Linked DNA regions of Stegostoma tigrinum. The protein of the gene in region 2 interacts with the protein of the main gene of each other region in a pairwise test. Links are inferred from orthologs where the notes say so. Each region holds a gene or a part of one and is shown on either strand. Other genes may lie near its edges. The genes, in order: dihydropyrimidinase-related protein 1-like, tk1, mucin-2-like and erg28.

Evidence for each region.
Region 1: the proteins of tk1 (region 2) and dihydropyrimidinase-related protein 1-like interact in a two-hybrid assay, tested with the Homo sapiens proteins (2 studies listed by BioGRID and IntAct). The link is inferred for Stegostoma tigrinum from reciprocal best matches to the Homo sapiens genes TK1 and CRMP1.
Region 3: the proteins of tk1 (region 2) and mucin-2-like interact in a two-hybrid assay, tested with the Homo sapiens proteins (2 studies listed by BioGRID and IntAct). The link is inferred for Stegostoma tigrinum from reciprocal best matches to the Homo sapiens genes TK1 and LRIF1.
Region 4: the proteins of tk1 (region 2) and erg28 interact in a two-hybrid assay, tested with the Homo sapiens proteins (2 studies listed by BioGRID and IntAct). The link is inferred for Stegostoma tigrinum from reciprocal best matches to the Homo sapiens genes TK1 and ERG28.

The regions. Positions count from the first base shown.
Region 1 is NC_081354.1:18,242,243-18,249,729, reverse strand, and holds the start of dihydropyrimidinase-related protein 1-like, read left to right. Parts: upstream 1-4,469; 5' UTR 4,470-4,725; coding exon 4,726-5,097; intron 5,098-7,116; exon of another isoform or gene 7,117-7,351; coding exon of another isoform or gene 7,352-7,390; intron 7,391-7,487.
Region 2 is NC_081375.1:15,188,040-15,195,137, reverse strand, and holds the start of tk1 (thymidine kinase, cytosolic), read left to right. Parts: upstream 1-4,080; 5' UTR 4,081-4,290; coding exon 4,291-4,356; intron 4,357-4,685; coding exon 4,686-4,717; intron 4,718-7,098. UniProt on the Homo sapiens protein: Cell-cycle-regulated enzyme of importance in nucleotide metabolism. Catalyzes the first enzymatic step in the salvage pathway converting thymidine into thymidine monophosphate.
Region 3 is NC_081374.1:46,712,938-46,720,900, forward strand, and holds the start of mucin-2-like, read left to right. Parts: upstream 1-4,948; 5' UTR 4,949-5,261; intron 5,262-5,685; exon of another isoform or gene 5,686-5,907; 5' UTR 5,908-6,330; coding exon 6,331-6,389; intron 6,390-7,963. UniProt on the Homo sapiens protein: Together with SMCHD1, involved in chromosome X inactivation in females by promoting the compaction of heterochromatin.
Region 4 is NC_081363.1:871,678-879,672, reverse strand, and holds the start of erg28 (ergosterol biosynthetic protein 28 homolog), read right to left. Parts: upstream 3,005-7,995; 5' UTR 2,976-3,004; intron 1,252-2,975; exon of another isoform or gene 1,120-1,251; intron 520-1,119; exon of another isoform or gene 140-519; intron 1-139.

The DNA.
Region 1 (7,487 bases), on a different chromosome or scaffold from region 2:
ATCTTGGTGATATGCCACAGCACATCTTGTTGATGGCACACAGTACTGCCACTATGCCTTGATCTGCGTGTATATCTCCCTGAGTGCTCAACCCTAAGTTGTCTTCTATTTATTAACCTTTTTTTTTACCATTTATTAACCATTTTTGTATAGAGAGGACATCCAATTTTACATTGTTCACTTATCATTATGTGATTGAACTAAATGAAGAAGTTTTAATTTGGTGAACTTAACCAACTTTCCTGATCAATGGTTTACCTGAATCAAGCATTACACAAGTATCATGTAACACTCTAAGTAAAGCTTACCATAAAAACAGAACTAAACTCCGAGTGCTCCTGTAACCAATGATAGATATGTGTATGAATTAACTTCCTTTAGCGGTGTTTAATGTTCAGGGTACATCGCATTTGGCAGTATATGTAAATCACACTATACCACCTGCAACACTTTGCACTCTGTAAGGCAGACAACAAGTTAATTTATAATGTGCATTTGTTGTAAAACAATTGCATTTATTGTTATGAGGCGAAGAAATTGGTTCATAAAATCTATTGGATGATATGGGGGAAAAGACAAGTGAGTTGAGTTGAGGTTTACATCAACCATGATCTAATGGGAGAATAGACGAGCTACAGAATAGTCCCTGCTCATTTGAAAATAGGAGAAGTAGGCCATTCAGTTTCTCAAGTCTGCTCCATTATTTGAGATGTTTATTGATAATCTACTACAATGATCCCCTTTCTGTTAATGTCAGTTGTATCCAGAATGCTATTGATTTCTTTCTTGAATATTCTCAATGACTGACCTTCCACAGTCCACCTATGTAGAGAATTCCAAAGATTCATTGCCTCTGAGTGAAGAAAATCCTTGTCGTCTCCGCTCCAAATGGCCTGCCCCATATTTTGAGACTGTTTCCTAGCTCACACAGCCAGGGGAACATCCCTTTTGCCTAAAACCTGTGCAGCGCCTTAAGGATTGTGTGACTTTCAAGGAGATTACCTCTCATTCTTTGAAGTATGAGGCAGTATTGTCTTTGTCTCCTCAACCTCTCAGATGACAGTGCATCCATGTCACCAGTAAGTCTCTTGAACCTACGCTGCACTTTTGCAACTATATCATTTTGCAAATATGGGGGCTAAATCTATACACAATACTGCAGGCGGAGTCTCTCAAAGATTTCACGCAAGTGAACCAATGCACCTTTACTTCTGTACTCAAATCTCATTGCAATGAAGGTGAATAAACCAGTGTCCCCTAAATTGCTTGCTGTACCTGAATTGTTAGCTTTCTGTGACTTATTACACGCAGGTCCTTGTACACCTACAAATCCGAATTCACCGTGTGTCTGCACTTCGAAATGTTTTGTTGGTCGAGCTGGACGTAAGTGGTCAAATAGATTATTTGACATTTAAAAATAAAGTTAGAACGCAGATATCTCTTCCAGTACTAGGATTTTTTTTCAAACAGTGGTAATGGGTAGTACCATGGGTAGATCTGCCTACTGAGTCAGTATGGGTGGAAATTAGGAACAGCAAGGGAGTAGTCACCTCGTTAGGGGTTTACTACAGGCCCCCCAATAGCAGCAGGGAGATTGTAGAAAGCATAGGTCGACAGATTTTGGAAAAGTGTGCACGCAGTAGGGTTGTTGTAATGGGTGACTTTAACTTTCCTAATATTGATTGGAACCTCCTTCGAGCAGAAGATTTGAATGGAGCTGTTTTTGTAAGGTGTGTTCAGGAGGGTTTCCTAACGCAGTACGTTGACAGGCCGACGAGGGGAGAGGCCATTCTAGACTTGGTGCTCGGAAACGAGCCGGGGCAGGTATCAGATCTTGTGGTGGGAGAGCATTTTGGTGATAGTGACCATAACTCTCTCACATTCTACATAGCTATGGAGAAGGAGAGGATTAGGCAGAATGGGAGGATATTTAATTGGGGAAGAGGAAACTATGATGCGATTAGACACGAGTTAGGAAGCATGGACTGGGAGCAGTTGTTCCATGGTAAGGGAACTATAGACATGTGGAGATGGTTTAAGGAACAGTTGTTGGGAGTGATGAGTAAATATGTCCCTCTGAGACAGGCAAGAAGGGGTAAGATTAAGGAACCTTGGATGACAAGAGCGGTGGAGCTTCTAGTGAAAAGGAAGAAGGTAGCTTACATAAGGTGGAGGAAGCTAGGGTCAAGTTCAGCTAGAGAGGATTACATGCAGGCAAGGAAGGAGCTCAAAAATGGTCTGAGGAGAGCCAGGAGGGGGCACGAGAAAGGCTTGGCAGAAGGAATCCGGGAAAACACAAAGGCATTTTACACTTATGTGAGGAATAAGAGAATGGTCAAAGAAAGAGCAGGGCCGATCAGGGATAGCATAGGGAACTTGTGTGTGGAGCCTGAGGAGGTAGGGGAAGCCCTAAATGAGTTTTTTGCTTCTGTCTTTACGAAAGAAACCAACTTTGTAGTGAATGAAACCTTTGAAGAGCAGGTGTGCATGCTGGAATGGATAGAGATAGAGGAAGCTGATGTGCTGAAAATTTTGTGAAACATTAAGATTGACAAGTCGCCAGGCCCGGATCAGATTTGTCCTCGGCTGCTTTGGGAAGCGAGAAATGCAATTGCTTCGCCACTTGCGAAGATCTTTGCATCCTCGCTCTCCACTGGAGTCGTACCTGAGGACTGGAGAGAGGCAAATGTAATTCCTCTCTTCAAGAAAGGAAATAGGGAAATCCCCGGCAATTATAGACCGGTAAGTCTCACGTCTGTCGTCTGCAAGGTGTTAGAAAGGATTCTGAGGGATAAGATTTATGACCATCTGGAAGAGCATGGCTTGATCAAATACAGTCAACACGGCTTTGTGAGGGGTAGGTCATGCCTTACAAACCTTATCGAGTTTTTTGAGGATGTGACTAGAAAGGTTGATGAGGGTCGAGCTGTGGATGTGGTGTATATGGACTTCAGTAAGGCATTTGATAAGGTTCCCCATGGAAGGCTCATTCAGAAGGTCAGGAGGAATGGGATACAGGGGAACTTAGCTGCTTGGATACAGAATTGGCTGGCCAACAGAAGACAGCGAGTGGTAGTAGAAGGAAAATATTCTGCCTGGAAGTCAGTGGTGAGTGGGGTTCCACAGGGCTCTGTCCTTGGGCCTCTACTGTTTGTAATTTTTATTAATGACTTGGACGAGGGAATTGAAGGATGGGTCAGCAAGTTTGCAGACGACACAAAGGTCGGAGGTGTCGTTGACAGTGTAGAGGGCTGTTGTAGGCTGCAGCGGGACATTGACAGGATGCAGAGATGGGCTGAGACGTGGCAGATGGAGTTCAACCTGGATAAATGCGAGGTGATGCATTTTGGAAGGTCGAATTTGAAAGCTGAGTACAGGATTAAGGATAGGATTCTTGGCAGCGTGGAGGAACAGAGGGATCTTGGTGTGCAGATACATAGATCCCTTAAAATGGCCACCCAAGTGGACAGGGTTGTTAAGAAAGCATATGGTGTTTTGGCTTTCATTAACAGGGGGATTGAGTTTAAGAGTCGTGAGATCTTGTTGCAGCTCTATAAAACTTTGGTTAGACCGCACTTGGAATACTGCGTCCAGTTCTGGGCGCCCTATTATAGGAAAGATGTGGATGCTTTGGAGAGGGTTCAGAGGAGGTTTACCAGGATGCTGCCTGGACTGGAGGGCTTATCTTATGAAGAGAGGTTGACTGAGCTCGGTCTCTTTTCATTGGAGAAAAGGAGGAGGAGAGGGGACCTAATTGAGGTATACAAGATAATGAGAGGCATAGATAGAGTCGATAGCCAGAGACTATTTCCCAGGGCAGAAATGGCTAGCACGAGGGGTCATAGTTTTAAGCTGGTTGGTGGAAAGTATCGAGGGGATGTCAGAGGCAGGTTCTTTACGCAGAGAGTTGTGAGAGCATGGAATGCGTTGCCAGCAGCAGTTGTGGAAGCAAGGTCATTGGGGTCATTTAAGAGACTGCTGGACATGCATATGGTCACAGAAATTTGAGGGTGCATACATGAGGATCAATGGTCGGCACAACATTGTGGGCTGAAGGGCCTGTTCTGTGCTGTACTGTTCTATGTTCTATGTTCTACTGTGCAGGAGGGACGGGCAAACTTGTTGCAAACTCCGAAGAGGTCAGGTCACAAAAATAAAGCAACACGAAAGCTTGATCCCAGACAAAGCTCAGGGCGAAGACGCGGCCCAGCTCCCTGAGCCAGTTCTGTCAGGAGGTGCTGAACGGACAGCTCACTGTGAAGTGAATGGCTTTGCCACTCTCTCTTTCACTCACACACACACCACATACACTTTGATCGATCGTCTCCAGACAGTTGCTCTCAGACCGACGCCGCCCCTCACCCTCCCGGCTCCCGCTCACAGAATATTCAATCCAAAGCCCCTCCTTGAAGGGAAGGAATGACAGGGCGGGGTGGGTGGGGGGAGAGACAGAGTTAGCTGAGCCAACGGCGACACTTTCTCATTGATTCTGACGCTTTTACTTCCGTGTCAGGGAGGCTTTGAATGGAATAGCCTGTCGCCCAGAGGATTCATTTAAGTGGTCAGATCCTGGCTGGGGGTCTACTGGTTTGCTACTGTGTGTGTCTGTGTGTGTGTGTGTGTGTGCAAGAAAGTGTGACAGACTGTGGCGTTGAGTGAGAATAAGTGCTATCATTCCACCCCTCCCCTTCTCTCTCTCTCCTCTCCTCGGAGACTGGACCAGGCATGGCTGAGGAGAAAAGACATTGGAACAAGGAAGATGACCTGCCCGTGTACCTGGCCAGACCGGGCACCACGGCTCAAACGCCCCGGCAGAAATACGGGGGCATGTTCTGCACCGTGGAAGGTGCGTACGAGAGGAAGACAATAGATTTCGATGCCTACAGCGTGGGGCGCCGGAGCTGCAAGGCATCTCGGAGCTCCAGCAGACAAGACCTGCTGTCACCGGAGTCAGACGGACTGAGCGAAACCGCCAGCGATGTCAGTGAGGTCTCCGGCTCGGTCATCAGCTCTCCCGGTGAGAGGGAGGAGAGAGGTCCGCTGGAGATCAAACCTCCGACTGGCAAGGAGCTGCTCCAGGGCTGGGAGCAGGGCAAGGTACCCAGCGAAACTCCATCATTACCATTCCCATCCACCCCACCTCCACACACACACAAACACGTTATCTTATATTGCTCACCTAAACAATCATAAAACCTCACACCTAACCCAGTTTATCCATCACTGGAACAGTCCTCATTTAAACACTTATTGTCTCGAAATTGTACACAAGTGCTTCCAAAGTGGTGATATCACGCCAGGGTGCAAACCAATGAGCGGAACAGGTCTAATTTCTGCTTGCAAATGCCTTCCAGTCACCCAGAAGGATTCTTTTGTTCTGGGGACTTCATTGAACTGGCGCCTCTTTTTCAGGGAAAGCTGTAGATTAGACCGGAGGGAGTGGAACCAGCTACAGCCAGCTGCCGTAGTTTCCATTCACTCAAAAAGCGTGTCAAGAAGATCAGGGATTAGCCTTTTTTTTAAATTTTCGGACATCTCCCCACATCTTTCCTTGCTGGCTCCACGGGAGCTATTGTCTGTTTGCAACGTGACTGACCCCAAACCCTAATTCTCCCCCTCGCGTTTCTTCACACAAAATGCTTCCAATAATAGAGGGGCTTTTCAGTTCAGTCTGTTTCCGCAGAAGCGGGGGATGGGTAAAGAGTTTCTCTCACAATGCTCCCTGACTTTAGTTCCTCACCGTCCCACCTGAACCGAGCAACATGATCAAACAAAGAGGCTGTCCCCCCATAAATTCGACTTTATTCGCACACATTCAGAGACGAATGAAATGCGGGCTTGCCGTCTTTGGGACGTCAGTAATCTTAGAGAGTACTTCGTGATCATTGATGTTTCCTTGGATTGGAACAAGACAGCGGGATCTGAAGCGGCAGTTTACATTGCACAGCATGGATTCAGTGAGAAGTTACAGACAACAAACAGGGAGAGTTGGGTGCGAGAGGAAAAGAGCCATTAAGATACACTTTCCGCTATATAAGAGGTTGGGGCGGGTGGGGGGTGGGGGTCAGCCAATGCTTCAATATCTCGCCATGATGACCCATGGAACCAAACTGAGATTACTGCAGCTTTAGAATGGCATCGGAGGGCGGAACCATTCCTTGCAGAATCTCTTAAAATCTTAAGCAATCTGTGCTCCCCGATGCCCAAAGACACGGGTACCATCGAGGCTTGTGCCAAGTACTATGTGTGCCACACAAGCATCAGGCAATGGCTATTTGCAAACATGGGATGGCTTCCTTTGATATGCAGTGCGATTATCCTTGTGCAGCCAACCCCATTCCCTACCGCCCACACAAAACCTGGGGAGATCTCTACTGAACAGAATCTGAGCTAGCCACGTGAATGCAATGACTCTAAAGCGAGCCTGGGAGCGGGGAATATTGTACTGAGGAACTTGTTTTCCCCATGGACACGGCACAAGAGGGCGGTGGGGCACTCCCCACTTGCTACGTGTGTACAGAGCCAATAACCCCCAGCACTCGTCCCTCCGGGGTTCACAGTGGCTGTAGAGATGTATCATCTACCGTAGCAGTGCAGCAACCCTACCAAAGCTTCTCTGACAGCATCTGCCACACCCAGTTAGCTCCCCCACACCAAAGGGCAAGAGCACATTCTCCCTGTGTCTGCGTGGGTTTCCTCCCACAGTTCGAAGAGGTGCAGGCTAGATGGATTGGCCATGCTAAATTACCCGCAGCGTCTAGGGACGTGTAGGCTTCGGTAGGTGAGAGGGGGACGGGTGTGGGGAGGATGCTCCGTGGGTCGGTGTGGACTTGTTGGGCCGAAGGGCCTGTTTCCACACTGGTAGGGAGACTGTCAGCGCACCCAAAGGATTTGACCACCGCTCATACAGTCACAGACCTGGAAATGTGGGACTGTTCCTGGCCGGTCAGTGGGTCAGAGGCTCGAGAACGTGGCTTCGGCAGAACCAGGCATGAGCAGCCAATGCTGGCCCTGGCTGCTACGCCCACTTTGCCGTGCATATATTAAAAATTTACAGGAGCTCCCCGCCTTGCTCTGGGAAAGCGCTTCCTGAGGTTACGAGCAGCTGCAGTGTCCTCTCAGGTCTCTAGAAGGAGCTCTCACTCAAAGTCCCTCCGGATGGCCGCCGACTGACACCTTTCTCTAGCCTCACATTCCCCCCCCCCCACAAAAAACACAATTCACAAATAAATATTCTTTTTGCAAAAAAAAGAAGAATCGAGCGTTAGCGTGTCGATTGCCCATCCAGTTTAAGAGCTGGAAAACCTGCCGTTTCTCCTCTGCTCACAATAAAACAAAAACACAGACAAACATGTCCAACCAAGACGGCCAGGATGTGCACCGCGTAACGGTAAGCCCTTTCTTTCTGGAAAGACCGTCCCAGTCTGTCTCGCCGTGTGTGTGTGTGTGTGTGTGTGTGTGTGTCGGTGTTTTAGAAAGCGGGGAAA
Region 2 (7,098 bases):
TGAAAGATATAGGACAGATGTCAGAGGTAGTTTCTTTACTCAGAGAGTAGTAAGGGAATGGAACGCTTTGCCTGCAACGGTAGTAGATTCACCAACTTTAGGTACATTTAAGTCATCATTGGACAAGCATATGGACGTACATGGAATAGTGTAGGTTAGATAGGCTTGAGATCGGTATGACAGGTCAGCACAACATCGAGGACCGAAGGGCCTGTACTGTGCTGTAATGTTCTATGTTCTATGTCTATGTTCTATGTATTTCTACCCAGCTCAATTGTGATGCTCATACTTATCTTGGCCTGCTTAGCCCAGACAGGCAATTGCACATCTAACATACTTGCCAATTCAATTACTTTGGCTTTTATGGTCTCTTTTAGATCTCTTCATCTGAGATGCCTCTTCTATTTGCTGGAAAGGTTTTGCAGATTCTACTGTCATCTTACTTTTTAAATGCAAAACCTGGTGTATATCCTTCTCCTTTACACTAACTCCACATTCAATCTTGTCTTGTCTTTGCGCCAAAATCCCAGCAAAAGAGACCCCAAACCTTGTCAGGATTCACTGTGGCATTGTGCTGGAAATCAAGCCCCACTACCTATTGAGTGTGTCAGGACTTGATGCCAGTAGTGAATACAGCAGGGCACTGATGTACATCATGAATGGTGCAGCCAATGTTGTCCCATTGTTTAATAATTACAGGCCTGCGAGCCTCATGTTGGTAATAGGGAGATTATTGGAAAAGATTCTCAGGGACCACATCTATATGCATTTAGAAGAAAATTGACTTATTAGAGGTAGACAACTTCACGTTGGTGGTAAGGAAATTATTGGAAAAAGATTCTCAGGAACAAGATCTATATGTATTTAGAAGCAAATTGAATTATTAGCAATAGACAGCATTGTTTTGTGGGAGGGGAGGTCGTGCCTCACTATCTTGATCAAGTTTTCATGAGGAGGTGACGAAGGTGAATGATAAGGGAGAAATGGTTGATGTTGTGTAAGTTGATGATGTTCAGTAAAACCTTTGACAAGGTCCCTCATGGCAGAATGGTTCAAAAGTTGAAGTCACGTGGTATCCAGATGAGCTGGCAAGATGGATACAGAACCAGATTAGTCATAGGAGACGGGGGGGTAGGTTGATTTTCAGAATGAAGAGTTGTGACTAATGGTATTCCACAGAGATCAGTGATGGGACCTCTGTTGTTTGTGATCTACGTAAATGATTTGGAAGAAACCATGATAGAAGTTTATAAGATAATAAAATGTGAGGCTGGATGAACACAGCAGGCCAAGCAGCATCTCAGGAGCACAAAAGCTGACGTTTCGGGCCTAGACCCTTCATCAGAGAGGGGGATGGGGGGAGGGAACTGGAATAAATAGGGAGAGAGGGGGAGGCGGGCCGAAGATGGAGAGTAAAGAAGATAGGTGGAGAAGGTGTGGGTGGGGAGGTAGGGAGGGGATAGGTCAGTCCAGGGAAGACGGACAGGTCAAGGAGGTGGGATGAGGTTAGTAGGTAGCTGGGGGTGCGGCTTGGGGTGGGAGGAAGGGATGGGTGAGAGGAAGAACTGGTTAGGGAGGCAGAGACAGGTTGGACTGGTTTTGGGATGCAGTGGGTGGGGGGGAAGAGCTGGGCTGGTTGTGTGGTGCAGTGGGGGGAGGGGATGAACTGGGCTGGTTTAGGGACCCATCCCAGGCCCCAAGGTGACATTCCACATTAAGCAGAGGTTCACCTGCACATCTGCCAATGTGGTATACTGCATCCACTGTACCCGGTGCGGCTTTCTCTACATTGGGGAAACCAAGCGGAGGCTTGGGGACCGCTTTGCAGAACACCTCCGCTCAGTTCGCAACAAACAACTGCACCTCCCAGTCGCAAACCATTTCCACTCCCCCTCCCATTCTCTTGATGACATGTCCATCATGGGCCTCCTGCACTGCCACAATGATGCCACCCGAAGGTTGCAGGAACAGCAACTCATATTCCGCCTGGGAACCCTGCAGCCATATGGTATCAATGTGGACTTCACCAGTTTCAAAATCTCCCCTTCCCCTACTGCATCCCTAAACCAGCCCAGTTCATCCCCTCCCCCCACTGCACCACACAACCAGCCCAGCTCTTCCCCCCCCCACCCACTGCATCCCAAAACCAGTCCAACCTGTCTCTGCCTCCCTAACCGGTTCTTCCTCTCACCCATCCCTTCCTCCCACCCCAAGCCGCACCCCCAGCTACCTACTAACCTCATCCCACCTCCTTGACCTGTCCGTCTTCCCTGGACTGACCTATCCCCTCCCTACCTCCCCACCCACACCTTCTCCACCTATCTTCTTTACTCTCCATCTTCGGCCCGCCTCCCCCTCTCTCCCTATTTATTCCAGTTCCCTCCCCCCATCCCCCTCTCTGATGAAGGGTCTAGGCCCGAAACGTCAGCTTTTGTGCTCCTGAGATGCTGCTTGGCCTGCTGTGTTCATCCAGCCTCACATTTTATTATCTTGGAATCTCCAGCATCTGCAGTTCCCATTATCTCTGATAGAAGTTTATAAGATTGTGAATGGCATTGACAGAGTGGGAATTTTGAGGCTTTTTCTCAGGGTGGAGAGGTTAATAACTAGGGGACAGTCATTTAGGGTGTAGAGAGGAGGCCAAAGTTTAAAAGTGATGTGCAAGGCAATTTTTTTCACACAAAGAACAATGAGTGCCTGGAACACACTGCCAGAGGCGGTGGAAGCAGACACAATGGCAACATTCAAGATGCACCTGGATGAATACATGAACAGGAAGGGAATAGAGGCAAGTGGATCGTGTAACTGAATGTGAGGCTGGATGAACACAGCAGGCCAAGCAGCATCTCAGGAGCACAAAAGCTGACGTTTCGGGCCTAGACCCTTCATCAGAGAGGGGGATGGGGGGAGGGAACTGGAATAAATAGGGAGAGAGGGGGAGGCGGACCGAAGATGGAGAGTAAAGAAGATAGGTGGAGAGGGTGTAGGTGGGGAGGTAGGGAGGGGATAGGTCAGTCCAGGGAAGACGGACAGGTCAAGGAGGTGGGATGAGGTTAGTAGGTAGCTGGGGGTGCGGCTTGGGGTGGGAGGAAGGGATGGGTGAGAGGAAGAACCGGTTAGGGAGGCAGAGACAGGTTGGACTGGTTTTGGGATGCAGTGGGTGGGGGGGAAGAGCTGGGCTGGTTGTGTGGTGCAGTGGGGGAAGGGGAGATTTTGAAACTGGTGAAGTCCACATTGATACCATATGGCTGCAGGGTTCCCAGGCGGAATATGAGTATGGACTTCACCAGTTTCAAAATCTCCCCTTCCCCCACTGCATCCCTAAACCAGCCCAGTTCATCCCCTCCCCCCACTGCACCACACAACCAGCCCAGCTCTTCCCCCCCACCCACTGCATCCCAAAACCAGTCCAACCTGTCTCTGCCTCCCTAACCGGTTCTTCCTCTCACCCATCCCTTCCTCCCACCCCAAGCCGCACCCCCAGCTACCTACTAACCTCATCCCACCTCCTTGACCTGTCCGTCTTCCCTGGACTGACCTATCCCCTCCCTACCTCCCCACCTACACCCTCTCCACCTATCTTCTTTACTCTCCATCTTCGGTCCGCCTCCCCCTCTCTCCCTATTTATTCCAGTTCCCTCCCCCCATCCCCCTCTCTGATGAAGGGTCTAGGCCCGAAACGTCAGCTTTTGTGCTCCTGAGATGCTGCTTGGCCTGCTGTGTTCATCCAGCCTCACATTTTATTATCTTGGAATCTCCAGCATCTGCAGTTCCCATTATCTCTCGTGTAACTGAAGACACTTTTAGTACAGAAGGGCAAAATGAGTCAGCACGCACCTGCTCCTGTGCTGTATTGTTCTTTGTGTAGATTATTGTGTTTAATTTGAGGACAACATGTTTCAATTGTTCTGATATGATGACCTTCACTTTGGGAAATCCTGCTATCTTAAAAATGTATTTCTTCCAATCTCATAGGTGCCTGTAGTTTTTTGGTGTTTCACAAATCAGCTAGTGTCACTGAAAGAGGTCTATTGGCTGGCTCGGCCCACGTGACAACAAATTGTCACTTTCATCTCTTGACGTAATTTTGGCGGGGGTATTAAATTTGAAAACGCTTTGCCCTTTTCTGCTGTTTCTCTCTGCGCTCAGAATCTTTCATCACTCTGTTATATTTCGCTTTTTATTCTTTTTCCTGGGCATCTATTTTGTTTTGTTTCCGCTCCACAATCTTTATTTCTATTTATATCAGCTGGTGTTTGTATAACTGTTTATATTTTACTTTCTGATACAATGGACTGTTCCTACACCCCAGAAATCCCAGTTTCATCTCCGCGTAAAGTGAAGGGTCAGATTCAGGTAAGGGGGATAAAAATGCACACTGTTGATTCTTCAGAATAATCGAGGACACTGTTTTTAAAACAAAGCTTGACCAGAATCTCCTAGAAGAGATACCCAGCATTGTAGAGATTGTTTGAGATATTTTTATTTCACTCAATGAATCTGTGATAAATATGCAGAAATTGACCCATGTTAAACTTGGTGTGGGTCTGATTTTAAGACAGTATTTCTGCAATCGTTTTGATTTTTTTTTCGTTTTTGATCCCACTTCCTGTATCTCGCCAAAGGCGCCACTATCATCAGAGAATTGATCTTAAGGATGTTTCCTTTCTTTTTGCAATTTACAGATCATCTTCGGACCGATGTTCTCAGGGAAAAGGTAACAGATATAACGTTGCATTTGTTTTTCAAATAAGACTTTCAGATAGAAAGGTTCTGCCTGGTCGCTGAGGCTGTGAATTTGTTGGTGACCTCCTTGCTACTTGGCGCGAAGTGTTTTGTTTCCGGCCAACTGTGTTCCGCAAACCGGCCTCTGCTTTTATTCCACAGTTTCATTCCCGCTTCTACCAGGGCCAAGACACCAAAGTGTCCTGGATTTTAATCCACACTTTATTTCTCTCTGCTGGTCATCCAGCACTGGGATATATCTCCGCGATTCCTCTCCTCCGAATGGTGTATCATTCTGTAATATCTGCTTGGAAACGTTTCAAATCTGTTTCGATTGCTACAAATCTCTCAATGTTCCATCTGCCCTGATGTGTTATCTCCCAGTTTGAGAAACGTTCAACACTTTTTTTTGGACGTTCTTTCCAGTTATTAACTGAGGAGTCAATAACAACAGTAACTCGCGTTTATATAGAGCCTTATCGTCCCAAGGACCTTTTACTGAACATTTTGAAATAAGATCTGACACCCCAGTAGGGTTTCAGAACAAGTGACCATGAACATTATTTTGTCAAATATGTTTTGGGGAGTGTCTGAAAGGAGAAAAGAGAATTTAAGAGGTTTTGGGGAGGGAATTTCGTTTCTTGGGGCAAATCTGCACCTGAATTCAGTTGTGACACCGAGAATGCAATTTTTTTTTTGCTTCAGCTGCTCACAGTAACCAGGGAGAGGGATCGAGTCAGTGGCAAGGCAATGGAGTTTACAGCTGGGAGTGAAGATTTTGGTTTTCCTTAACACTTCTCAGCTCATTTAGTACTGGGTATCAGGTGATTTAGAGCCGTGGGCCTCACATTTTCCCAGTGACATAACTTCCAAACTTCGATTTTTGCTGTTGCAATTCAAGAAAACTTCCATGGCGACTTGCACTGCCTTTAGCTTAGTTGTTTATTGCGAACCGAGCGGAGGTGTTCTGCAAAGCGGTCCCTAAGCCTCCACTTGGTTTCCCCAATGTAGAGGAAGCCACACCGGGTACAGTGGATGCAGTATACCACATTGGCAGATGTGCAGGTGAACCTCTGCTTAATGTGGAAAGTCATCTTGGGGCCTGGGATAGGGGTGAGGGTTCGCAATAAACAACTGCACCTCCCAGTCGCAAACCATTTCCACTCCCCCTCCCATTCTTTAGATGACATGTCCATCATGGGCCTCCTGCAGTGCCACAATGATGCCACCCGAAGGTTGCAGGAACAGCAACTCATGTTCCGCTTGGGAACCCTGCAGCCCAATGGTATCAATGTGGACTTCACCAGCTTCAAAATCTCCCCTTCCCCCACCGCATCCCAAAACCAGCCCAGTTCGTCCCCTCCCCCCACTGCACCACACAACCAGCCCAGCTCTTCCCCTCCACCCACTGCATCCCAAAACCAGTCCAACCTGTCTCTGCCTCCCTAACCTGTTCTTCCTCCCACCCCAAGCCGCACCTCCATCTCCTACCTACTAACCTCATCCCACCTCCTTGACCTGTCCGTCTTCCCTGGACTGACCTATCCCCTCCCTACCTCCCCACCTATACTCTCCTCTCCACCTATCTTCTTTACTCTCCATCTTCGGTCCGCCTCCCCCTCTCTCCCTATTTATTCCAGAACCCTCACCCCATCCCCTTCTCTGATGAAGGGTCTAGGCCCGAAACGTCAGCTTTGGTGCTCCTGAGATGCTGCTGGACCTGCTGTGTTCATCCAGCCTCACATTTTATTATCTTGGATAGCAGTGAGGATGCTTTGTAGGATACCAATGTCACAGGCCTGTCAAGAAGAATGGGAAGGAATAGTTTGCCTTTTGTCAGAGCCACTTAGCACTTCACTTTGAGATTTCAATAAGAGCTGTCTTGATGCAATGGCAGGGGCTGAAACCTGATTTGGAGGGCTTCTAAGAGCCCTGAATTCCTGGAAAAATGGGTTGGAAATTGTTCAAGAACTTTGGAGAAAAATGGGACATTAGATATGGAATATCTATCGCCATTCACAGCACCATTCTGGGTATAAAGGGTACAACAAACTTAGCTGCAAAATAGTGAAAGAAACTAGATTTAAAAAGTCAAGCATTACTTTCATAGAATTATTAGAAAAGTAGAGAAATGAAGTGAGCATCTGCAGACACTTATCTCAGTGGCTTCAGCTCAGGGAAATGTCTGTGGAATCTTTTCTGAATTAGTCTAACACCTCATTGGAAAGTCAGTACCTCCAACAGTACAGCAATTTCTCAGTATCTTACTGGGATGTCCGCTTAGAATGTGTTCAACCCACCACCATCTGACTGAGGTGGAAATTTACACAAATGACCTAAGACTGTCATTTGACTGTAGTTCCCAAACTTGCA
Region 3 (7,963 bases), on a different chromosome or scaffold from region 2:
TCTCTCACCAATCCAGTGATTTAAAAAGCGTATTGGAAGGTGTGCTCATCCCTATCTCACATGGTGAAATATGTTTTCATCTCCCGCTCACTTATTAAGAGAATCGTCCTTCATCTAACGGTTCAAACAACATACAATTTGGTGAACAGTTAAACAATAAAATCTTAAGCTCTACCTGATCCTGTTTTAAACGCACTGTTTAGGCTGAAGTACTATTCGGAAATACAATGGTTATTATCCGAAACCGTCCGCCTTTTGCAGCTGTTTTACAGGATAGTAAAAGTCCTCGTCAATGGAATTTTGATTTTGGTCTGATTTGATTTCATTTATGATTGTCACATGTACCTAGGTGCAGTGAAAAGTTGTGTTTTGCATGCAGTACAGGAAGATCATATTATTCAAAGTGCCTTAGGGTAATAGAAGAGCGCGAGGAGTACAATGCTAGGGCTACAGGGAAGGTAAACGAAGACCGAGAGCAATATTAAATTTAAAACTTGAGGGGTCCAATCAGAAACCAGGAAGAGCCCGGAAGAAGTTGTTCTTGAAACTGTTGGTCGGTGTGTTTAAGCTTTTGTATCTTCTGCCCAATGGAAGAGGTTAGAAGAGTTATAACTGGGATTTGAGGGGTCTTTGATCATGTCGGCTGCCTTTCTGAGGCAGAGGACGAGTAGGTGGAGTCAGCGGGTGGGAGGATGGCTTGAGTGATGGACTGGGCTGTGTTCACAACTCGCTGCGGTTTCTTACGGTCCTGGGCAGAGTTTTTGCCATACCAAGCCGTGGTGCACTCAAGTAGAATGCTTTCTATAGTGCATCTATAATACTTGGTAAAAGTCTTTGAGGACAAGCCGAATTTCCTTAGCGTCCTGAGAAAGTGGAAGCATTGTTGTGCTTTCTTGACCTTAGCGTCGGTGATCATCACTTCCAGGACCTAGACGCCCTGGAACATCTCCACCTCAACACCATGTGGACAGGGGCGTGCCCTCCACCTTGCTTCCTGAAATCAATGACCAGCTCTTCCGCCCTGCTGACTTGGGGAAGAGATTGTTAACTTAAGTGCAAACAGTTGACTTGGGAAACATACCTCCAGTAAACTAAGACGCCAAAACCCCCAAATCAAACGTTCGTTCATAAGGGCAAAGGGACATAGCTCCGCTACTTGGCCAGTCAATTGGATCATAGCCGTAACTCCATTCCAGTGCCTCGGTGATTAATTTACTTGCCTGTGAGATCTTGTTTTACCGATTTCCGTGCATAACAGCCATAACTAAACTCAAAAACGGATAAAGAGATAATGAAACTTTTACGTTCGTGAATAGGAAATTATGCGAAGATTTCTTCTCACCCAGAGGGCAACGGGAATCTGGAACACGATACGAGAGGTAGAGACAGACACCCTCAGAACATTTAAGAAGTGTTTCCATGTACACTTGAGATGCCAAGACATACAATGGGACAAATCCTGGAAAACGGGATTAGAGTAGTTAGGTGGCTGGTTTTAACCGGCGCAGACTCGATGGGCCGAAAGGCCTTTTACTCTGCCATAGACAACACTCTGATTTTGGAATGCACTGGTTAGTCCCGGGCAATAATTCAGAAAAGACGTCAGAAGGGTGCTGAAGAGATTTTTAGGGTCGTACCGGGAATGAAAGCCTTCAGCTTGGGTTGGAACGGCCGGAGGAGGCCTGGTCTCTCCGCTTTGGAATAGAGTTTATGTCGGCGAGGAAACTGGTGAGAAGCGGGCTCCCGCTTAAGGGGTTTGGTCGGTAAACAGGCAGACACAACATGAAGAAACATTGTCATGGTGGAGCTATGAGCTGAAGGCACTGCCTGATATGAAGTGCATAAACATTCGAAAGCCAATCACTCCAGGCCAATGGGAAAGATAGATGGCTTCATCAATGAAACTGCTGGGGTCCCTAACATGTTTCCTTGCTCCTGGATACTGTATTGGGTTCAACACAAGTCCATGTCAATTATCACCTCACAGAATCACAGGATTGCGACGGTGCAGGAGGGGCTATTCGGGCCATTATGCCTGCGCCGGGTCTCTGAATGAAATTTCCCTTCACGCAACCTTACACATTATTTCCTTTTTGCAAATAATCATCGAGGGCCCACTTGAATGTCTCGATCATCCGTGTCTCCAGCAGACTGGCAGATCGTGTATTCAGAACACTAAGCACTCGGTATGTAACACGTATTATTTACTCACGTCTCGCTTGCTCATTTTACAAATGATTTTCTAATCTGTCTCCTTTCATTCTCACTACTTTCACCAATGAGAAAAAAAAGTTCCTTATACAGTCTGCCCAGGTCCCTCATATTCGAACACCTCGATCAAATCTAGTCCCAAGCCTTCACTTTTCCAAGAGCTGTCCCAAATCTCTCAAATCTATCCTCAAACTGAAATTCCCCCACCCCCGCAACCATTCTGGTGAATTTCACCTTCACTCTCTCCAGTGTCAAATTACGGCGCTCAGAACCGCATCTGACCCTTCACCCAGAGTATTGTAAAAGGTTACCACGACCTCTTGTTTCTGGGAGTGTATATTGAGTGTTACATCGATGTAGGCAGTTGCCGAGTACGCAAACAGTGTGAGTCAGCGATCAGCAGAGGCTCTGGCCGTGTGTGAGTCAGTCAGTGTTCACAGAGTTACGTAAAGAGAAGGCAGAGTTTATCAGGAAACGAAAGAACCAGGCTGAGGTCTTTGATAGACTCGGTTCGGCTTTCAACATAAACTCCGCAAGCAAGTGTCTCTTGCAGACAGTGAACACACCAACACCATTTGCTTCTGCTGTCACTGTCCCTTTACTTTCGTCAATTTTGTAAGGAAGGAACAGGAGAGAATTAAAAACGAAGGACTGGAGGTGCTGGAAATCCGGAACAAAATCAGAATGCGCCAGAGAAACTCAGCATGTCTGGTAACATCTGTGAAGTGAGAAACAGTTAACATTTTGAGTCCAGTCCCTCCACTTCCGCTTACTGGTTTCTGTGCGTGACCCGCTCGGTTCTCATTCGGTTCGATTTTGACGCGAAACAAGGCACAAGCCCGATACAGAAATTTTCGGACTGCATTAAATGGAGAGGAAATGTTAGTGCATGGGAAAGGTTCCAGCGACGACAGCAGAAGGCTAGGCAGCGGTTTCACTCTGACACAGGATTTCCTGCCGCCCACACACCATGTACTCGGGTCAGCTGACGGTTGTACTACCTATAAGTCAAAACGCGTCGTACTTGTCAAAGTTGTAACTGGAATCCATCTGAATCGATTCGAGCAGAATTTTTTTCGACTTAGTGTGAAAGTGTACTGTGAAACGCTGGGGGGCTAACGCCGCCATCGAGAATCTCGAGAATTAAAAGGAAGGCGCGCGCATATTACCAGTAAAGGTTCACCAGGTTGGGTGAAAGGCATCAGAAAGAAAAAAAAGGCAGAGATCTACCTTCTTTACTAAAATAAAAGGATTCATTTATTATTAAAAATAGAACTTTCCTCCCCACAAGTTCTGAAGATGCCTAGCAACACAAAAACAGCGAAGTAGGCCGTTCATCAAACTCTCACACAGGAGAGAACAGATCTCCACATCACAATGGGGCAAGCCCCATACACATACAGGGGCAAACTCCATATATATATGGGGCAACGCCACGTTGAATGGGCAAATACAAAGTCATACACAAGAGTAAGCCTCATTTGCACACGAGGCAAAGGGCATACACAAGGGAGAAAACATACATAAGGGAAAAACACATATTCTGGGCAAAATTCAGACACACAGGGTTAGCTCCATTAGCATAGAGTAAAACAGCTTAATTCGGGTGGAGGGGTGCTCCGCAGGCACACAGGATACAGGCACACAAAATACACGCACAGGAGCAGAAGCAACACAGGAGAAATACACACGGGGTCAAACAGTACACGAACATACTGGGAGAATACACCACCTACTGATACATGGACAAAACACACTTTGGAGAAGCGTGCAAATAGACAGAATAGATAAAGTGAAGGACAACGCAATCGCTTACTGGGCCAAAGCTCCAAAATGCACAAAGTGGGACAGATCCATAAAAACAAACACATGTACAAGGATAGAAGACACCGGCAGGGACAAACACACACATAAACACAGGGTCAAAGCAACTGAAACAGGGGACAACGCATCTATTGTGAGCAAAAGGCAGATGCAGCTCTCCCGAACAACTGGGGGTGGATAACAAGCGCACATCCATTGAACAAATGATAAACACACAGGGAGCGAGCATATCTTCACAGACTCAGAGGCGACACACTCTGACTAACAGAGATGAAACACACTCACTTCAGTGTCAGGGACGAAACGAACAACCACTAAGGGTCTAATCAAGCCCACACATGAACTATACTTATAGATTTGAAACAAAGTATACATTACGATGGAACACATGGAAAAACATAGACACGCGTGGACAAAACACAAACATGCAAGGAGAAATGCAACACCACACATACACACGTGTATTTTGAGTGTTCCTGCAGAAGTCAAATAAATTCGTTCATCTACTTTTTCAGCCACGGCCTATTTTTGAGAATGGAGGAAGAAAACGTATAAGAACACGTGGCGATGCCTCAAACTGAAATTACTAGCTCTAAACCGAGGTCTTAAGAAAACATCAAACCGTAATAACAGCTCTCTTGGCCTCTCAAATGTCAGCAGCTGATGCGTAAATGGCATTTAAGCCCCCGGGGGAAAAACGGCCGGGTCAGCCGAACAACTTGAAATATACACTACAATAACTCAGCAGCTAACTTCACCGTGAGCGCCCGCTGTAGGGGGCGCGCAGTTTTCAGTTAGAACCACACCTTCCAGATCATGGCGATCGCATCGCCCACACACTAGACGGGGTGGAGGAGCGCGCTGACGGTCAAGACGCAGTTTCGGTTAATTAAAATCAGCAGCATTGAAAAATGCACCAATAGATTGCGACAACCGACCCTTTTACGGAAATACTGTTATTGCAACATGTGTCAGGAAGGACAAAACTAAACTTCCGGGCGCTGTTTGCGAGCCATCAGCCGGTAAATAACCTGACGGCAGAAACGTCAGCGTGTCACCGCCATGAGGGTTGTATATTGTTAATACGTGCACTAAACATGCCACAGATCTAGCGCCGACAAGACCGTATTCTATCGGCAGGAAATACAACGCTACGCAGATAACTGCTTCGTGTACAGTGGAGAGAACAAAGCTGGAACTGCAGTCTCGACAGATTGCTGTTTGAGGTAACACCGTTTTATTAATGGCAATCAGAGTCCAAATCGCTCCGCCCTGTACGTCCTCGTCACCCTGCTGGATGAGTTCAGTGTTGCGACTAAATGTCAAAACAGGCTCAAACTGCAACAAGAATCAAGCAACAAAAAGAAGTGCTAATGGCTCATATTACATGTTGGATACTAGCTGCAATAAAAGTGATGTATTTATAGATGAGCCTGTAGGGTCACGCAAAGCGTTGCTGTTCGGGGTTTTTTTTACCTTGGTTAGGGGGGTTGCTGGGGCTGGAAGGTGCTAGGCGGGCTCAGCTTTGATTGACAGGGGCCAACGCGTAGGCGCCAGTTCCCTCTGAGGGCGGTGGCGCGGGCCAAGGGGGTGGGGCGGCCTCTGATTGGCGGCCGCCGGAGGTCGGGGTTGAGCCGGTGGCCCAATCAGCACCGGCAGAGTGCGCGAGCGGCCGTGCGTCGTGGCCGCGGGGCTTTTGCGTGGAGACGCCGGCCGTTGGATGAGGACGGGGGTAACCGCAGTGTTACCCACCGGGCGCTGTAATTACCCCCACCCCCTGTCAGAGCAAACCCTGAGCCCGTGACTGAGTCAAGCCTCATCTCCCACTGCTTCCTCAGGTTATATCAACGACGCTTCTCGTTTTTCTTCAAGGGCACAGCTTTCTAATGGCTGTCAGGTGGTGCAACCTCGTGGCCGGACTCCCTGATTGACCTGCCCGTGCGCTTTGTTTCTGCTCCGGGGTGAGACGCTGCAATCCGCTGGCCCCCGTCTCTTGGTGTTGTTGAGGGGACGGGGCTGCCCACCCCGCGCCCTTTCCCGCTGGCCCGAGGATTGTGGGAGCCCGCCTGCAGTCGCGCCGGCGGCCGCCGGGTGGCGCTGCCCAGCGGCCCCGGGACCGCCAGCGCAACAACAAGAACAACCCGCCGCCGCCAGGACTACCACCGGATGAGAGGGGAGGGGAGAAGGGGCAAAGGAAACAGCCGCCCCAAACAGGGAGCAGTTGAAGCAGCCTAGGCTACGGGCAGTCAAAATCATCCAAAGAGCTGGGCACGGCGCCTGCCTCATCCCATCCCCATGAACAGCCTACAACGTCTGATTGTGCAGAGCCCCGACAGTTCGGGTGCTATTCCGTGGTAAGTGCCGATCTTTCTGTTTCAATGTACTTTTGCCGGCTGCTTCGGTTACGATTCGCACGCACCCCGCCTCCCGGTGCAGCCTCGGCAGTGAGGGTTTGAAGGGGTTTCCCAGGTTGCAGACAGCCTCAGCCAGCCGCCGGGCAGTTGGAAACCGGCCTGTGGAGGTTCAAAGGCTGAGCGCGCCGCGGTTTTTTGTTTTAAAATAAAAAGAAGGGAAATCTGTGAATTCCTCTGAACGGTGAGCAGCTCTTGACAGCCTGGGCTGCGGAGGGGAGACTTGGAGAGTGTGAGGGCAGTGCGTTCGGGTTCTGAGAATAGAGAGGAGTAGCTGCGGGTGCTGTAAGTCTAGAACTGTTTGTTTTTCTTTAAAAAAGAAAAAGAAACACTTAATTAACGCATCGAGTCCAGCACGACTCCTGTTCGGACCTTTCCGACGGGGTGTATATATAACTGGACTCGCGTGGATACGGCAGGACCGACTGAGATTCTCCAGCACTTTGAGATTTTTATTTCGGGTCCTTCAGAGTGCTGCTGATGGTAACGGGACAGACTGAGGGCAGTGTGATGTGGGGGTATAACGAGGAGGGGTCAGAGTGAGACACTCTTTCACCCCCCACCCCGGGCAAACTCCAGTTGTTTACAGTTGTCCCGACGGCGAGAGCTGGACCTTCAAACGCCGCGTTAAACTCGCGTAGCCACTGTATGTTTTCCTCAACACCACCACCATCCCCCCCCCGCCGTCTCTCTCCCCCCACCCCACCACCACCACCACCCCCCCCCCCCCAGGCAAATCTCGCTTCGCCTGCCGCCCCTCTCTGCCCTCCCCCATCTTCCTCTAACCTCCTAACCGTCCCCTTCGCCGCTCTCTCTTCACACCAGCCCCCACCGCCAACCGTCCCCGACTACCCCCCAACCACCCACTCTGCTTACATTATCAATATGCCACCCTATTCACCCTCCCCCTGCCCCACCCACTCTTCTCCCATTCCTCCCACAGACTCACACCACCCCCCCCTGCTCTCCCACCCCCGAACCAAACCGTCTCCCACCCACCTCTCCTTTTGCCGCATTCTCCTCCGCCTCTCCCTTGCCCCCACCCTCCCCCCCTTCCACCCACCCACCTTTTTACCCCTTAACCCGCCTCTTACTGCTCCCCGTCCTCCTCTCCCTTCCCCACCATCCCTGTCACCCACACCTCAACCCCCAAACACTCTCTGCCTCCTTCCCTACCCTCCTAACAACTAATTTCCCTCACCCTCGCTCCTCCTCCTCACCCCCACCTCTCTGTCCAGCCCTACCCTCCCTTCCTCCACACCCTCTTCCCATACCCTTTAACTCTCTCCCCCTTACACCGCTCCCCCCATCTCTCTCCCCCACCTCTATTCTCCAACCAACCCACCCTCCATCTACCGTCTCCCTCTCCATCCTCCCGGTCTATCATCCCAACTCTATCCCCTATCATCTCCCCCAACCTCCTTCCATCTCTCCCTCCTTCCCCAGCCTATGCTCTCACTTTCCCTCATTCTCCTGCTCCCCCTCACTCCTCGCCCACATTCCCCTGATCTTCCCTT
Region 4 (7,995 bases), on a different chromosome or scaffold from region 2:
TCAGCACTGACCCTCCGACAGCGCCCACTCCCTCAGTACTGACCCTCCGACAGCGCCCACTCCCTCAGTACTGACCCTCCGACAGCGCCCGCTCCCTCAGTACTGACCCTCCGACAGTGCCCGCTCCCTCAGCACTGACCCTCCGACAGTGCGGCGCTCCCACAGCACTGACCCTCCGACAGTGCGGCGCTCCCACAGCACTGACCCTCCGACAGCGCCCGCTCCCTCAGCACTGACCCTCCGACAATTCCCACTTCCTCAGCACTGACCCTCTGACAGTGCCCGCTCCCTCAGCACTGACCTTCCGACAGTGCGGCGCTCCCTCAGCACTGACCCTCTGACAGTGCCCGCTCCCTCAGCACTGACCCTCTGACAGTGCGGCGCTCCCATAGCACTGACCCTCTGACAGTGCGGCGCTCCCACAGCACTGACACCCCCCGACAGTGCGGCGCTCCCTCAGCACTGACCCTCCGACAGTGCGGCGCTCCCTCAGCACTGACCCTCCGACAGTGCGGCGCTCCCTCAGCACTGACCCTCCGACAGTGCGGCGCTCCCTCAGCACTGACCCTCCGACAGTGCCTGCTCCCTCAGCACTGACCCTCCGACAGTGCCCACTTCCTCAGCACTGACCCTCCGACAGTGCGGCGCTCCCTCAGCACTGACACCCCCCGACAGTGCCCACTCCCTCAGCACTGACCCTCCGACAGTGCCCGCTTCCTCAGCACTGACCCTCCGACAGTGCCCGCTCCCTCAGCACTGACCCTCCGACAGTGCCCGCTTCCTCAGCACTGACCCTCCGACAGTGCCCGCTCCCACAGCACTGACCCTCTGACAGTGCGGCGCTCCCACAGCACTGACCCTCTGACAGTGCCCACTCCCTCAGCACTGACCCTCTGACAGTGCAGCGCTCCCTCAGCTCGGACCGTCCGACAGTGCAGCGCTCCCTCAGCTCGGACCGTCCGACAGTGCGGGACTCCCTCAGCACTGACCATCCGACAGTGCGGCACTCCCTCAGCACTGACCCTCCGACAGTGCCCACTCGCTCAGCACTGACCCTCCGACAGTGCCCACTCGCTCAGCACTGACCCTCCGACAGTGCGGCACTCCCACAGCACTGACCCTCCGACAGTGCGGCGCTCCCTCAGCACTGACCCTCCGACAGTGCGGCGCTCCCTCAGCACTGACCCTCCGACAGTGCGGCGCTCCCACAGCACTGACCCTCCGACAGTGCGGCGCTCCCTCAGCACTGACCCTCCGACAGTGCGGCGCTCCCTCAGCACTGACCCTCCGACAGTGCGGCGCTCCCTCAGCACTGACCCTCCGACAGTGCGGCGCTCCCTCAGCACTGACCCTCCGACAGTGCCTGCTCCCTCAGCACTGACCCTCCGACAGTGCCCACTTCCTCAGCACTGACCCTCCGACAGTGCGGCGCTCCCTCAGCACTGACACCCCCCGACAGTGCCCACTCCCTCAGCACTGACCCTCCGACAGTGCCCGCTTCCTCAGCACTGACCCTCCGACAGTGCCCGCTCCCTCAGCACTGACCCTCCGACAGTGCCCGCTTCCTCAGCACTGACCCTCCGACAGTGCCCGCTCCCACAGCACTGACCCTCTGACAGTGCGGCGCTCCCACAGCACTGACCCTCTGACAGTGCCCACTCCCTCAGCACTGACCCTCTGACAGTGCAGCGCTCCCTCAGCTCGGACCGTCCGACAGTGCAGCGCTCCCTCAGCTCGGACCGTCCGACAGTGCGGGACTCCCTCAGCACTGACCATCCGACAGTGCGGCACTCCCTCAGCACTGACCCTCCGACAGTGCCCACTCGCTCAGCACTGACCCTCCGACAGTGCCCACTCGCTCAGCACTGACCCTCCGACAGTGCGGCACTCCCACAGCACTGACCCTCCGACAGTGCGGCGCTCCCTCAGCACTGACCCTCCGACAGTGCGGCGCTCCCACAGCACTGACCCTCCGACAGTGCGGCGCTCCCACAGCACTGACCCTCCGACAGTGCGGCGCTCCCTCAGCACTGACCCTCCGACAGTGCGGCGCTCCCTCAGCACTGACCCTCCGACAGTGCGGCGCTCCCACAGCACTGACCCCCCGACAGTGCGGCGCTCCCACAGCACTGACCCTCTGACAGTGCCCGCTCCCTCAGCACTGACCCTCCGACAGTGCCCACTCCCTCAGCACTGACCCTCCGACAGCGCCCGCTCCCTCAGTACTGACCCTCCGACAGCGCCCGCTCCCACAGCACTGACCCTCCGACAGTGCGGCGCTCCCTCAGCACTGACCCTCCGACAGTGCGGCGCTCCCTCAGCACTGACCCTCCGACAGTGCGGCGCTCCCTCAGCACTGACCCTCCGACAGTGCGGCGCTCCCACAGCACTGACCCTCCGACAGTGCGGCGCTCCCACAGCACTGACCCTCCGACAGTGCGGCGCTCCCACAGCACTGACCCTCCGACAGTGTGGCACTCCCTCAGCACTGACCCTCCGACAGTGCGGCGCTCCCACAGCACTGACCCTCTGACAGTGCCCGCTCCCTCAGCACTGACCCTCCGACAGTGCCCACTCCCTCAGCACTGACCCTCCGACAGCGCCCGCTCCCTCAGTACTGACCCTCCGACAGTGCCCACTCCCTCAGCACTGACCCTCCGACAGCGCCCGCTCCCTCAGCACTGACCCTCCGACAGTGCCCACTCCCTCAGCACTGACCCTCCGACAGCGCCCGCTCCCTCAGCACTGACCCTCCGACAGTGCCCACTCCCTCAGCACTGACCCTCCGACAGCGCCCGCTCCCTCAGCACTGACCCTCCGACAGTGCCCGCTCCCTCAGCACTGACCCTCCGACAGTGCCCACTCCCTCAGCACTGACCCTCCGACAGCGCCCGCTCCCTCAGTACTGACCCTCCGACAGCGCCCGCTCCCACAGCACTGACCCTCCGACAGTGCGGCGCTCCCTCAGCACTGACCCTCCGACAGTGCGGTGTATAAAAAAAAATCGCTTGTCCAATCTCCCACCCTCCTCCGTTGCCGATTGGCTTGGGGTGGTCTATCGGGTGGAGTGTTCATGTTTGGCAGACGTCTGCACCAATCAAACACCTAGACGTCACCGCCTGATTCTGCTCTATGCTGATTGACTACGAGCACCGCGCCCATTCTCCACCTTTTCATTCTCCTTCTTCCCAGTGGTTTCGTATTTAATTCTGTATTTCCCGTTTTTTTAGTTAATTCTCCATTTCCCCGGATTTTATTATTTAATTCCCCTTTTCCCGGGGGTTTATATTTAATTGTGCATTTCCCAGGAGTTTAGTATTTAATTCTCTTCTGTATTTTTTGGGGATTTATTATTGAATTCTCCATTTCCCGGGAGTTTATTATTTAATTCTGCATTTCCCAGAGATTTGTTATTTAATCCTCTATTTCCTGGAGGTTTATTATTTAATTCTCTATTTCCCGGGAGTTCATTATTTCATTCTCTAATTCTCAGGAGTTTATCATTTAAGTCTCCTTTTCCAGGGAGTTTATTATTTCATTCTGTATTTTCCAGGAGTTTATTATTTAATTCTGTATTTCCCCGGATTTATTATTTAATTCTCCAAATCCCAGGAGTTTATTATTTCATTCTCTATTTCTCAGGAGTTTATCATTTAAGTCTCCTTTTCCAGGGAGTTTATTATTTCATTCTCTATTTTCCAGGAGTTTATTATTTAATTCTGTATTTCCCGGGTTTTATTATTTAATTCTCCAATTTCCAGGAGTTTATTATTTCATTCTCTATTTTCCGGGAGTTTATTTCAAATGACTCATTTCAAAGAACTATAGAATCTGTACAGTCTGGAAGCAGGCCATTTGGCCCATTGAGTTACACCGACCCTCCGACCAGCTTCTCAGACAATTCCTTTATTTCCCATGGTTAATCACATCCCTGGGCACTATGGTGCAATTTCCCACATTCAGTCCACCCTAACCTGCACATCTTTGGACTGTGGGAGGAAACCAGAGCACCTGGAGGAAGCCCACACAGACACGGGGAGAATGTGCAAACTCCACACAGTCACTGCATTTCCCCCGGATCATTGTTATTGATCGACTCCTGGGGCTTTATAATTGAATTCTCCATTTCACTAGGGATTATTTTTAATTTCCCTTTTCCAAGGTTTATTATTTAACACCCCATTTCTCAGATGTTTGCTATTTTACCCTCCATTTCTCAGTGGATTATTATTTAATACATTTGCAGTTCTTTCGGATTTTATTATTTAATGTCCCCTTACATGACAGTTTCTTCTTTCATGCTCCTTAACTAGGGGCTTATTATTTCTTGCACCATTATTTGGGAGTTCATTAATTAATGTTCTATTTCTGACTAAAGGGCTGCCTTTGAAAGCTTGTGATTTCAAATAAAACCGTTGGACTATTACCTGATGTCGTGTGACTTCTGACTTTGTCCACCCCAGTCCAGCACTGGCACCTCCACATCTTTGCTACATTTGAACATTGTATGGGTCTACATATTGTTAGTCTGTAAACTGTGAAAAAGAAGTTGAACAGTGGTACATAGCTCAATGTACCAAGAGAGTCTTGGATTTGAAAATGATTTGGGATTGTGGATCAAATGTTTTAGTTTCAAAGGATTACATTATTTTTCACAGCAGTGAGATGGATACTTTATGAGTGGCACCACAGTATCTTCATATACAAATCAGACATGATCTTAAAGAATTGCACTGTAAGCTCATGGGATGGAATTAACTATTTCTGCTCCTAATTCATAAATTTATAATTCAATGACCACCTGGGACAAAAGGGCAATTTAATAAATTTCACAAGACAATTCAATGATAAACAGCCAGAAAATAAGAGAAAATTGGAGCAGCTGTAGTGATTCTGCTCTTCAAATCTGCTCCATTTATTGCATTGATGGTTTATCATCCAACTCATTCTTGAAATCATATAGAACAGGGGGAATTCCATAATCCACAGCCTCAGAGTGAAGGGACAACACTTCAGAACTGAGATGAGGAGGAATTTCTTCAGCCAGAAGCTGGTGGATCTGTGTAACATGTTGCCTTGGAAGGCTGCAGAGGCCAACTCACTCAGTGTATTTAAGAGATAGATAGGTTCTTGATTGGTGAGAGGATCAAGGGTTATGGGGAGAATTCAGGGGAAGTAGGTTAAGAAACAGATCTGCCAAGATTGAATGGTGGAGTAGTCCTGACGAGTTGAATGGCCTAATTCAACTCCTGTACGTTATGGTCTATGGTCTAACAAATATCCAAGACAGAGACTGCAGCACATACCACTGTGGGATTCCACTGGCCACATCTTGGCAATAACACAAAGATCCATTTATGCATACTTCCTGTGTTTTGGCAACCAGTTAATCTATCCATGTTAATTAAATGAAGTTTTGTTTTTCATATTAACCTTTGATGTAGCACCATGTCAAATGCGTTTCGGAAATCCGAATAAATTAGATTTACACTCTCCCCTTTATCCATAGCGGCTGTTAGTTCTTTGAAGTGCTGCAATAATTTGGTTAAACTTGATTACCCTTTCATAACGTTACCCTCAACATTGAATATGTTGAGCTTTTCTCAGTGCACAGCTGTAGTTTCTTTAGTGATTGACTCACTGCTGCTCTTTATATTCTGCCAAACATTTGACCAGCCACTCTTTTTTTTTCAGTGATAGGGTGTTTTCCTTAAGTTTGATGCTTTCCCTAACTACTTTATTTAACCGTAGATTGTGGGCAGACCTTTTTGAATTTTTCTTTATAGGAGGAAAATAGCTCCTTAAATGCCTGTCAAAGTTTCCCTAACTTTAAGTCCACAGTACATAGGAGTAGAAGTAGCTCACTGAATCTGCTCCATCATTCAATGACACTACAGCTGATATGAGAATTATTGGCTCCACTTTCCAGCCTTTTTCCCCATAATTCCCCCACTGATTAAAGATCTATCTCAGCCTTGAACATACTTATAATCCCTAGACTAGCATGCCGGTTCACTTAGGCTAGCCTAGCTTTCATGCCCACTAGTTGCTCTTACTTAGGTTTAAAAGAGGGCATTAATTAATCCTGTCACATTACACAATACCAAGTCCATTTTAGTTTGCTATAAAAGCAATATAACTTTAGGCATAGCAGATAAGGGAACGATATGAGAAGGGGGTAGTTAGCGAAAGACTGAAGGTGTTGTACTTAACGGCACACAGTGTATGAGAAAAGGGAAACAAGATTGAACACAGATTGAAATTGGCAGATATGTTGTTGTGAGTATTAGAGAGGTGTGGTTGCAAAGGGATAAGAGATCTCCGGTATGTTTCTTCTTCCTTGGGGATGAATTTCTGACATGCCTCCCAAACGAGCTCCAGAAAATCCAGTGCTGCTCTTCCCTGATAGGCTCCCTTCCAACCAACTTTGACCAACTCCTCCTTCACGTACTTATAGTCACCGTTCCTCAATTGTAAAACAGTTAACACAGTGTGGAGCTGGAGGAACACAGCAGGTCAGGAAGCATCACAGAAACAGGAAAGTCAACATTTTGGGTCAGGGCCCTTCATCAGAACTCTGCTGCCTGACCTGCTGTGTTCTTCCAGCTCCACACTGTGTTGACTCTGACTCCAGCGTCTACAGTTCTCGCTATCTCTGTAAACCCCATACATCTGATTCCACTTTCTCCTCTCAAGCTGCAGGGTGGATTCTATCACATTGTGGTCACTGTCCTCCAGGGCCTCCTTAAACCCTAATCAAGTTTGCCTCATTACACATCACCAAATCCAAAACAGCCTGTCCCCCAGTGGGCTCGATGACAACGGCTCCAAAAAAATTCTCATAGTCATTCCACAAATACTATACTCAATGTACTGGCTAATAAAGGGAATCAACAGGAGATTTTGTGGTCAGGATTGGGATTCCCGGAAGGTATGTTGCCTCCCTGGTGCCAGGGTCCGGGAAGTCTCCGATCAGGTGTATAAGGTTCGAAAAGGGGAGGGCCAACAGCCAGAAATCGTGTTACATATTGGCACTAATGATATAGCCAGAAATAGGATTCAGGATATAAAAAGTGATTTCAGGGAGTTAGGATGGAAGCTGCAAAGCAGGACCAACAGAGTAGTGTTCTCTGGTTTACTACCGGTGCCACGAGATAGCGAGACGAGGAACAGGGAGCGGGCGCAGCTTAACACGTGGCTACGCAGCTGGTGTAGGAGGGAGGGCTTCAGATATGTAGATAATTGGGATGCCTTCTGGGGAAGGTGGGACCTATACAAGGAGGACGGGTTGCATCTGAACTGGAAGGGGACCAATGTCCTGGGTGGAAGGTTTGCTCGAGTAGTTCGAGAGGGTTTAAACTAGTATGGCTGGGGGGTGGGAACCTGAGCTGTATACCGGAGGTGAGAGTTGATGCAGGTGAGGCAGTAGCAAGAGGTAGACCAGCTAGTGGGAAGGATTTTCCTGGAAAGGAACCAAGGGATCAGTTAAAGTGTGTTTGCTTTAATGCAAGGAGTATCAGGAATAAAAGTGATGAACTTAGAGCATGGATCAGTACCTGGTGCTATGATGTTGTGGCCATAACAGAGACATGGGTTTCTCATGGGCAGGAATGGTTGCTGGATCTTCCAGGGTTTAGAACATTTAAAAAGAATAGGGAGGGTGGGAAAAAAGAGGAGGGGGTGTAGCACTACTAATCAGAGAGGGTATCACAGCTACAGAAGCTTCCATTGTCGAGGAAGATCTGCCTACCGAGTCAGTATGGGTGGAAATTAGGAACAGCAAGGGAGTAGTCACCTCGTTAGGGGTTTACTACAGGCCCCCCAATAGCAGCAGGGAGATTGAAGAAAGCATAGGTTGACAGATTTTGGAAAAGTGTGGACGTAGTAGGGTTGTTGTAATGGGTGACTTTAACTTTCCTAATATTGATTGGAACCTCCTTCGAGCAGAAGATTTGAATGGAGCTGTTTTTGTAAGGTGTGTTCAGGAGGGTTTCC